Oryctolagus cuniculus: one gene and its partner. The protein of the gene in region 2 purifies or fractionates together with the protein of the main gene of each other region. This does not show direct contact. Links are inferred from orthologs where the notes say so. Each region holds a gene or a part of one and is shown on either strand. Other genes may lie near its edges.

Region 1 (4,593 bases), on a different chromosome or scaffold from region 2:
GAAGGACTCTAATCCAACCCCACGTGGCTACGTGGAAACCTCCCAGAGCCAGGAGCCACCATGACTTCCTTACCGTCTTCCTCGTCCTCCTCGTCGTCGTCCTCGTCCTCATCGTCGTCTTCATCCTCGTCCTCCTCGTCCTCATCCTCGGAGGCGGGGGCCACCGCTGCTGCCTTCATGACCGCCGGCTCAAACTCATCCTCCTCGTCCTCCTCGTCATCTTCATCCTCGTCGTCGTCGTCCTCCTCGCTGTCCTCCTCCTCCTCCTCGTCGTCGCTGTCTTCCTTCTTGGCGTTCTTACCATTCTTGGCCCCCTTGGCGGGGAGGACCGCTCCCTTCTTTCCCGAGGCCGCTACCACTGCTTTGCCCAGCGCGGCCCCCTTCTTGCCCGACGCCACCACCGCTTTGGCTGGGGTAGCGGCCTTCTTCGCTGGCGTGGTGGCGGCTCCCTTTTTACCTGGAGTGACAACTGCTTTCTTGGCAGGAGTGGCAGCCGCAGGCTTTTTTGTCGGGGAAGCCACCGCCTTCTTGGCTGGAGCCGCAGCAGCTTTCTTGCCTTTCTTCTGTGGGATGACTATCTAAACAGCAAACACCAACAGTTAGTTCTGCTACATCCGAAAGGCAGCCCTGGTCCCAGTGGTGGATTCTGGCACTGCCTCTGGTTCAAGACTGCATATGTTCCATGTTAACATGTTAGGTTCAACAGTAAGTAAAGTGCTGTGGCGTAGCACATAAAACTGCTGCCGGCAGCCCATATGGGAGCCAATTCAAGCCCCAGCTGCTCTACTTCCATCCTGCTCTCCGCTGTGGCCTGGAAAGCAGAAGATGGCCCAGGCGCTTGGGCCCCTGCACCCACGTGAAGACCCAGAAGATCCTGGCTTCGGATAGGTCCAGCTCTGGACGTTGCAGCCACTTGGGGAGTGAACCAGTGGATGGGAGAACTCTGCCTCTCTATAACTCTCTTTGCAAATAAATAAATCTGAATATTAAAAATCATCTGGGGATCATACAGTGGGTAGTGGTACAGGATTCTTGTCCTGAGACAGGACCTGAGATAAAAATCAGCCTTAAATTGGCTGAGCAACCCTTACAAATTACAGCACATCAAATAAACACTGTATCTGTAAGAACCATTATTTACCTACATTTTAACTCCTATTCAAAGCTATTTTCATTAACTTCCTAGTTTATCAGATAGTTCACTTAAGAGTAAAGTCTTTGCTGAATTCTAAAAAACCGACTTTCCATGCAAGCAATGAACGTGAATGCTCAGGTGGCACCTTCAACCCACCCAATCGCTACAAACCTTACATACAGGGGGGGGACAGAATCCACCTGGTCCTTTATGCTGAGCAGGAGAAGTGTATCAACCTCACTCCAGCCGTGCAGAGGGCACAGATCCCAGATGCTCACACTCAGGTACTCACCCAACGGTCTCCTGCCATCTAAGCACCCCCCACCCCGGGTCACGTGAATAACACACTACTTTTCATATCCTTTTCAGACACCCAACACCATTCTGTCCACTGTGTAAGTGCAACCCAATTTCTCCTCGATCGCGACCCAGTTACCTCTTCTCCACTGCTGTCATCCTCGTCATCTTCCGACATCTCCTCGTCTTCACTATCTTCTTCTACCTCCTTGGGAGGAGGAGCCATTTTCTTGGGCTCACCTTGGTTTTTACCAGCCTAAAACGCACACAATGAGGACATGAACACCCCTCATCGATTCCACGGCCCACAATAAAATACAACCATCACCCTCCTCAACGCACTTTCAGCATTAAACATAACCGATCCTGAAACTGACCAACAGTACGGCCCATCAGAGTTTCCCTGTCAATCTTGACAAAACCTAAAAAACAAGTCCAAGGTGATGAAATAACCCATCTGCCTTTTTTTACCCTCAACCACTTAATTCACCCCTGGGTTCAACCCTAGCACCAGGCACCCTTCTTAGTAGCCAGCGGCCACTCTTCCAGGGAGGACCCCCCCCAGCCTCCGACGCACACCACCAGCGCCCTCGTCGGAACTCCGGGCAGCACCAGCGTCGCAAAAGCATAAAAGTAACAAAGCCACCTCGGACCCCAACCGGCCTGCCCCTCTCACCTGGCCGCGGCCACGTGGGGGTGCCCGGCGGCCACCATGTGCACGCACCCCGGCGCCTCCTTCCGGGGCCGGCGCACGTGGCGGCGGCCGGGGGGCCCCGGGCAGCTGGGCCAGGGCCGCGGGTTCGCGCCGGCGGGCCCCGGCCACCCCGCGGCCCACGCGGCGGGGCCCACGTGGCGGGCCGCGAGCCGGCGCACGTGCGGCCGGAGGCGGGGCCCGGCCCGCGCGCGGCGCACGAGTTGGATCTCACTTCCTCCCGCCGCCCCGCGCCCCGCGCCGCAGCCTTCCACGCCGCCCTCAGCACCTGCCGGAGCGCGCCGCACCTCGCCGCCAAGCAGCCAAGACACGCGAGAACTGCCCGCCAGTCGCGCGAGACTTCCCACAGCATGGCGCCCTCGAACGCGCCCGGGACGGCGCGCAGGCCCTCCTCCCCGCGACGCCGCGCGCGCTCCTGAGCAGCAGGCCTCGGCGCTCGCGCTCGCGCGCCCTCAGCGCTTACCTTGGCCAGCTTCACCATGATGGCGGCTTACGACGGCGGCGGCTGTGGCGCAGACGAGCCTAGAGGAACCCGAGCGGCGTCGATGGCGGCCGCGGGTGACTGAAGATGCCGGAGCACGTACGCCGGGCTGCCAGCGAGAGCTAGAGACTGAGGCGAAAGACTGAGCCTGCCCAGTAATCGCCTCTGGAAAGGCGACGACGGCGCCCTCGTGACTCCTCCTCTACCAATCAGAGCTCGCGTCCGTCGCGCGAGCCAATCGCAAGCCGCTAACTGTGCGCGGCGTGGGGCGGGGATTGGGCCGGAGTGGGCGGGCCCAGGCGGCCAAGGAGGGGAAGGGGGTCTGGCGGCCGCGTCCTGGAGGCGGGATTTGCTTTGTGCAAGGCCGGCGCTGATTGGCCCGGGGGTGCGCGGGTCGCAGAGTGTTCCTCCGCGGCCGGTCGTCCCGGCGCATGCGTCATGCGACGGGCTCTTTTGGCGCGGGGCGAGCGAGCGAGTGGCGCGGCGAACTGAGCGAACGCGGGGCGGTGGTCTCGGTTTCCAGAAAGTAGCCGGGTCCGGTAGACGTGTGCGCGGGAGGGCGCCGGTGCGCGCTCCTCGCTGAGCCTGCTTGCGGCTCTGGAGCGAGGGGTCGCGGCGGTTTCCTGCGGGTCAGCCCGAGGGCGCCGGAAGTTGAGGTTCGGCCAAGTTCCGAGTGGCCCTTTCGGGGGCCCGCCGGCCAGCCAGGGGCCCCAGACTCCCTGGCCGCTGGAGCGCCCTCCGGCCCACGTGCCTCCCGAGGGCTGCGGGTAGAGTTGTGAGCCGTGCACAAGCGCTCGGTTAGTCCCCCGTAACCACGCGGCAGGTGTTTGTCCCCGCGGTCCAGCAGCTTGGAGGTCGCGCCCGCGAGGGGCTTGGTCATGGTGGGGTGGGCAGCGGGACCTGGGCCGCCCGCCGCGCTTCCTCTGCCGTCAGTGTGGCGGCTGGGCGGGCAGCGGCACACGTGGCCCAGCAGTGGACCCGGCGCCCCGGGCGGGGGCTCGGAAGGTGGGCTTGGCGTTGTGTGCTCCTGCGGCGGCTCAGATGGGCGCCAGGCTTAGCGAACCAACCGGAGCCGGCCTCGGATGCCCCCCAGGCTTCTGGTAACCAGCTGCCCCAGCAGAACCTTTGATAAAAGTCGCCTCTGAAGGTTCAAAGTTGAGGAGGTCTGGGGGGGCCCGGGGTCGCTCTGTTTCTGTTGGAGAGGCAGAGTGGCAGACCTGCCCAGATGCCCAAAACAGCCAGGGCTGGGCCGGATCGAAGCCAGGGGCTCCATGCAGGCCTCCCCGGGAGCTGAGGGCCAGGGACCCCGGGACTCCAGCGTCCCTTGCTGTCTCCCATGTGGTCGGAAGTGGAGGTGGTGCCACATCCTAGGCACTCGGTCCGGCCCACGCGGCAGCTCAGCCTGCGGCGCCCCAGCTGCCCACCTGGGATTTTGCACTAAAGGCCTAGGAGCATTCTTCGGGGCGGCCGAGTTATTTTAGTTCTTGCTAGCACACCTGCGGCGATAGGAAGCCCAGGCCACTCACTGGGGCGCTCAGACCAGTTGAGAGGTCTGCCCCCTTTATCTGATGCTCTGAGGGGGTCGTGCTTCGAAGCGCAGGGAATGGGGGCCGGGGGATCCCATCTGGGTGACAGGGGTGGGGTGGAGAGGGAACGGCATGAGCCGAGACATGGTGGGATAGGACCCTGTGGATTTCCAAGCAGAGCGGGCTTCAGGCACTCGTGGAAAGAGGCTGGAGAGATGTCTGGTGGGCATGACCAGGGGACCGGGTGGATTTTAAGAAGCAGGTGTGTAGCCAGCTGGGTGGGTTTCCTGTGTCCGACATCAGAGGAGCGAGCTAGTCCCAGCCTCTGGCTCTGGCCGCGAGACCCTGGGTTCCTGCACATGGGGAAGACCTGGATTGAGTGCCCGGCTTTGACCCAGCCCAACGCCAGCTGTTATGTGCGTTTGGAGCGTCACCCAGTGAA
Region 2 (3,798 bases):
CGGGGGGCCAGGACGAGCCAGCCTGCTGACCAGGGTACAGGCCACGGCACCCACTCACGCCTCTGCCACCCCACTTGGAAACAGTTCTCCCCTCAAAACGTGACTCTACAAGCAAGAGAACCCACACACAGCCAGCGGGGCTCAGGGCAGCCCAGCTACATGCAATGCAGCTCAGGGCATGGCCGGAGCACAGGGAGCCGGGGACACTGGCCGGGCCGGGCCCGCAGCAGCAGGGTGTGCTCACACCCACAGGCCCTGAAGCCGGCAGGCCGCTCCGCTCCTGGCTCCGGACACCGGACACCGCAGGCCCCTAGCAGGTGAGTCACAGACAGGGCCGCCCGGGGCCGCCCCTCCCAGCTCCCCCAGGGCGAGCCCAGCCACATACGTTGTCGTCGTCCTCGATGGCCTCCCCCGTGAAGTAGAGCACAGCCCGCGGCACTATCCGCTCGCGGAAGAAGTGTCCGATCTCGAAGTCAGACGCTAACGTGAACTCCGAGTCTTCGTCCTGAGGGAGGGAAGGCCACGGCGGCTCACCTGAGCGGACGCCTCCCTCGCCCTCCCTGCACCCGACAGCAGCCGGCACCCTGCTGAGGGGCGGCTCGTGGCTGCTCAGGCGCTTCACCCACGGGAGCCAGGGTCTCAGCCACGTGGGACACACGGGAGCTAAGACTCGCACGGCTGGAGCCACACGGACTCCAAGGGCCCTTCACACAGCTGTGCAAAGTCAGTGTCATGGAGAAACTATGCTAGGACTTCCATGCTGCTGACTACTTTACATACGGAACCTGCTTTTCAGTCCCGTTTCCCATCAACTCCAGCCCCAAGGGAGAGGATTTCTAATGAAGCCGAGGGTCTCCAGGAGGTGGCAGTGGATCACAACGCAGTGAATACTCACTCAGAAAACAAACTGTACCAGGAAAAGCAAGGTTCAAACTTACCAGTGATTCTCCATCCCCGGATGCTAGAAAAGACAGAACACATCCACATTACAGGACAACCAGAACCCTGCAGGGCTTTGCTGGGACACGCCCCGGGCCCCAACTCCCAGCCGCCACTTCACGCGGAAGCTGGCCCAGGGCCTCCACGCCGTTCCCTGCCCCCTGACCGCCTGCTGGCCGCCTGAGAAGTGACGTTTGGGGGGGCACTCAGGAAGGAGGCGGTCCCAAGCCCAGGCTGCAGCCACTCTGCTCTGTGCTCAGGAGGAACCCGGAGGCCACACGCTGCTCACCTGAACGCACCCACAGAGCCTGGGGCCAGGTGCCCTGCACGCTGCTGCCACTCTCCTGTCTCGTGTGTGAGGGAGACGGGCACAGGGGCCAAAGCTCCCCACGCCCACCACACGCCCCGGCTCCGGCACGTGTAGGAAGAGTTAGGATCCCAAGCCCTGCCTGTGGACACACCTCTCAGCTCTCACCGCTTTCCCCACACGGCCGGGAATGCTGGCTGTATGCACAGCACCCTCGAGGCGCAGGGCAGCACCTAAGACAGCGCTCGGGGGAGCCCTCTGCGTGGGGTGCTCTGGCCCAGGGTCCTGGTGGTTCTCGACCAGCCCAGGACTCAGCCTCCACTCTAGTCCACAGCAGTGACTGCCCAACATCACATCACTTACTAACTGGAAAAACTATCTTTTGGGGCCGGTGCTGCGGCGCAGCAGGTTAAGGCCCTGGCCTGAAGCACCGCCATCCCATATGGGCGCCGGTTCGAGTCCTGGCTGCTCCACTTCCGATCCAGCTCCCTGTTGTGGTCTGGGAAGGCAGTAGAAGATGGCCCAAGTCCTCGAGCCCCTGCACCCAAGAAGGAGCTCCTGGCTCCTGGCTTCTGGTTGACGCAGCTCCGGCCATTGCGGCCATCTGGGGAGTGAACCAGCGGATGGAAGACCTCTCTCTCTGTTTCTACCTCTCTCTGTAACTGTGTAACAAATAAAACAAATCTTTAAAAAAAAAAAAAAAGAAAAAGTATATTTCTACTGAAGCATAATCTACATATCACAGAAATGTGTAATTTAATGACTAAGAATAATACTTAAGAGCTATGTATGGCCGGCGCCGCGGCTCAATAGGTTAATCCTCCACCTAGCGGCGACGGCACACCGGGTTCTAGTCCCGGTTGCCCCTCTTCCAGGCCAGCTCTCTGCTGTGGCCAGGGAGTGCAGTGGAGGATGGCCCAAGTGCTTGGGTCCTGCACCCCATGGGAGACCAGGAGAAGCACCTGGCTCCTGCCTTCAGATCAGCGAGGTGCACCGGCCGCGGCAGCCATTGGAGGGTGAACCAACAGCAAAAGGAAGACCTTTCTCTCTGTCTCTCTCTCTCTCACTGTCCACTCTGTCAAAAAAAAAAAAAAAAAAAAAAAAAAGAGAGAGAGAGAGCTATGTAACCAACACCAACAAAGTTTGTTTGTTTGTTTTAAGATTTACTTATTTATTTGAAAGGCAGAGTTACACAGGTAGAGGGAGAGAGGGAGAGGGAGAAGGGGAGGGGGGAGAGAGAGGGAGGGGGGAGGGGGGGAGAGGGAGGGAGAGAGAGAGAGAGGGAGAGAGAGGTCTTTCATCTGCTGGTTCAGATGGCGGCTTTACCTGCTACGCCACAGCGCCGGCCCCACCAACAGAGTTTTAGAACACCAGATATCATCCCTCCAATTCTCACATTCATTACTAATTATATATTTTTATCCTAAAAATTATATAAAAGTCAAAGCTACCAGGGCCACTGTTGTGCCAACAGCAGGCTGAGCTACCACCTGTGATGCCAGATCCCATACGAGAGCTGGTTCAACTCGTGGGTGCGCCACTTCCGAGCCAGCTCCCAGGGGCCCTGCCTCCTACTTTTATTTATTTGAAAGGCAGAATTATACAGGCAGAGGCAGAGAGAGAGACAGAGAAGGTCCTCCACCCGCTGGTTCACTCCCAGATGGCTACAACAGCTGGAGTTGTGCCTATCTGCTGCCAGGAGCCTGGAGCCTCTTCCAGGTCTCTCATGCGGGTGTAGGGGCCAACAACTTGGGCCATCTCTCATTGCTCTCTCAGGCCACAAGCACTGTGGCGTAGCTGGTAAGGCCGCCACATGCAGTGCTGGAATCCCATACATGTACCGGTTCAAGTCCTGCTGTGGCCTGGAAAAGCAGTGGAAGATGGTCCAAGCCCTTGGGCCCCTGAACCCACGTGGGAGACCCAGAAGAAACTCCTGGCTTCAAATCGACACAGCTCTGACTGTTGCGGCCATCTGGGGAGTGAACCAGTGGATGGACAACCTCTGTCTCCCTCTGCCTCTGTAGCTCTGCCTTAAAATGTTTAAAAAAAATGTAGACCCCCGTTTGTGTGGCACTGGCATCCCACAGAGTGCCAGCTTGAAGCCGGCTGCTCGCCTCTGACCCAGCTCCTGGATAATGTTCTGGGCCACCCGTGTGGGAGGCAGGGTGGAGTTTCTGGCTCCTGGCTTGGGCCTGGCCCTGCTCTGGCTTTGCAGCCACTTGAGGAGGAACCGGCAGATGGAGATCTCGTGTTCTCTGTCTTCTAACGCTTCTGACACTTTGTCTTTCAAACAAACAAAAACCACACCAAAGCCCATGTGTACCTGCTGGTGAAGCCAGTAAACCGCCAATATGCTCAATGCCAACTCCAAAAGATCTCCCCAAACTTATGGCTATTCTTGGCCCCAAACCAGTATTTGTGCATCTTCTAGGCTCAAAATCAAATCACAGAGAACCACCAGTACTAAAGTTTGAGCAGCAGCTAGACGAACAGGGCGAAGATGACCCAGCAGGCCTGGGAGGCGTGCCCCCTGCTGACCCCACACAACCTCT

The links.
Region 1: the proteins of NAP1L4 (region 2) and NCL fractionate together in Homo sapiens (co-fractionation; 3 studies listed by BioGRID). This does not show direct contact. The link is inferred for Oryctolagus cuniculus from reciprocal best matches to the Homo sapiens genes NAP1L4 and NCL.

What each region holds. Positions count from the first base shown.
Region 1 is NC_091434.1:7,816,698-7,821,290, reverse strand, and holds the start of NCL (nucleolin), read right to left. Parts: upstream 2,837-4,593; 5' UTR 2,626-2,836; coding exon 2,608-2,625; intron 1,689-2,607; coding exon 1,572-1,688; intron 579-1,571; coding exon 74-578; intron 1-73. UniProt on the Homo sapiens protein: Nucleolin is the major nucleolar protein of growing eukaryotic cells. It is found associated with intranucleolar chromatin and pre-ribosomal particles. It induces chromatin decondensation by binding to histone H1.
Region 2 is NC_091432.1:792,218-796,015, reverse strand, and holds part of NAP1L4 (nucleosome assembly protein 1-like 4), read right to left. Parts: intron 962-3,798; coding exon 939-961; intron 506-938; coding exon 386-505; intron 1-385. UniProt on the Homo sapiens protein: Acts as a histone chaperone in nucleosome assembly.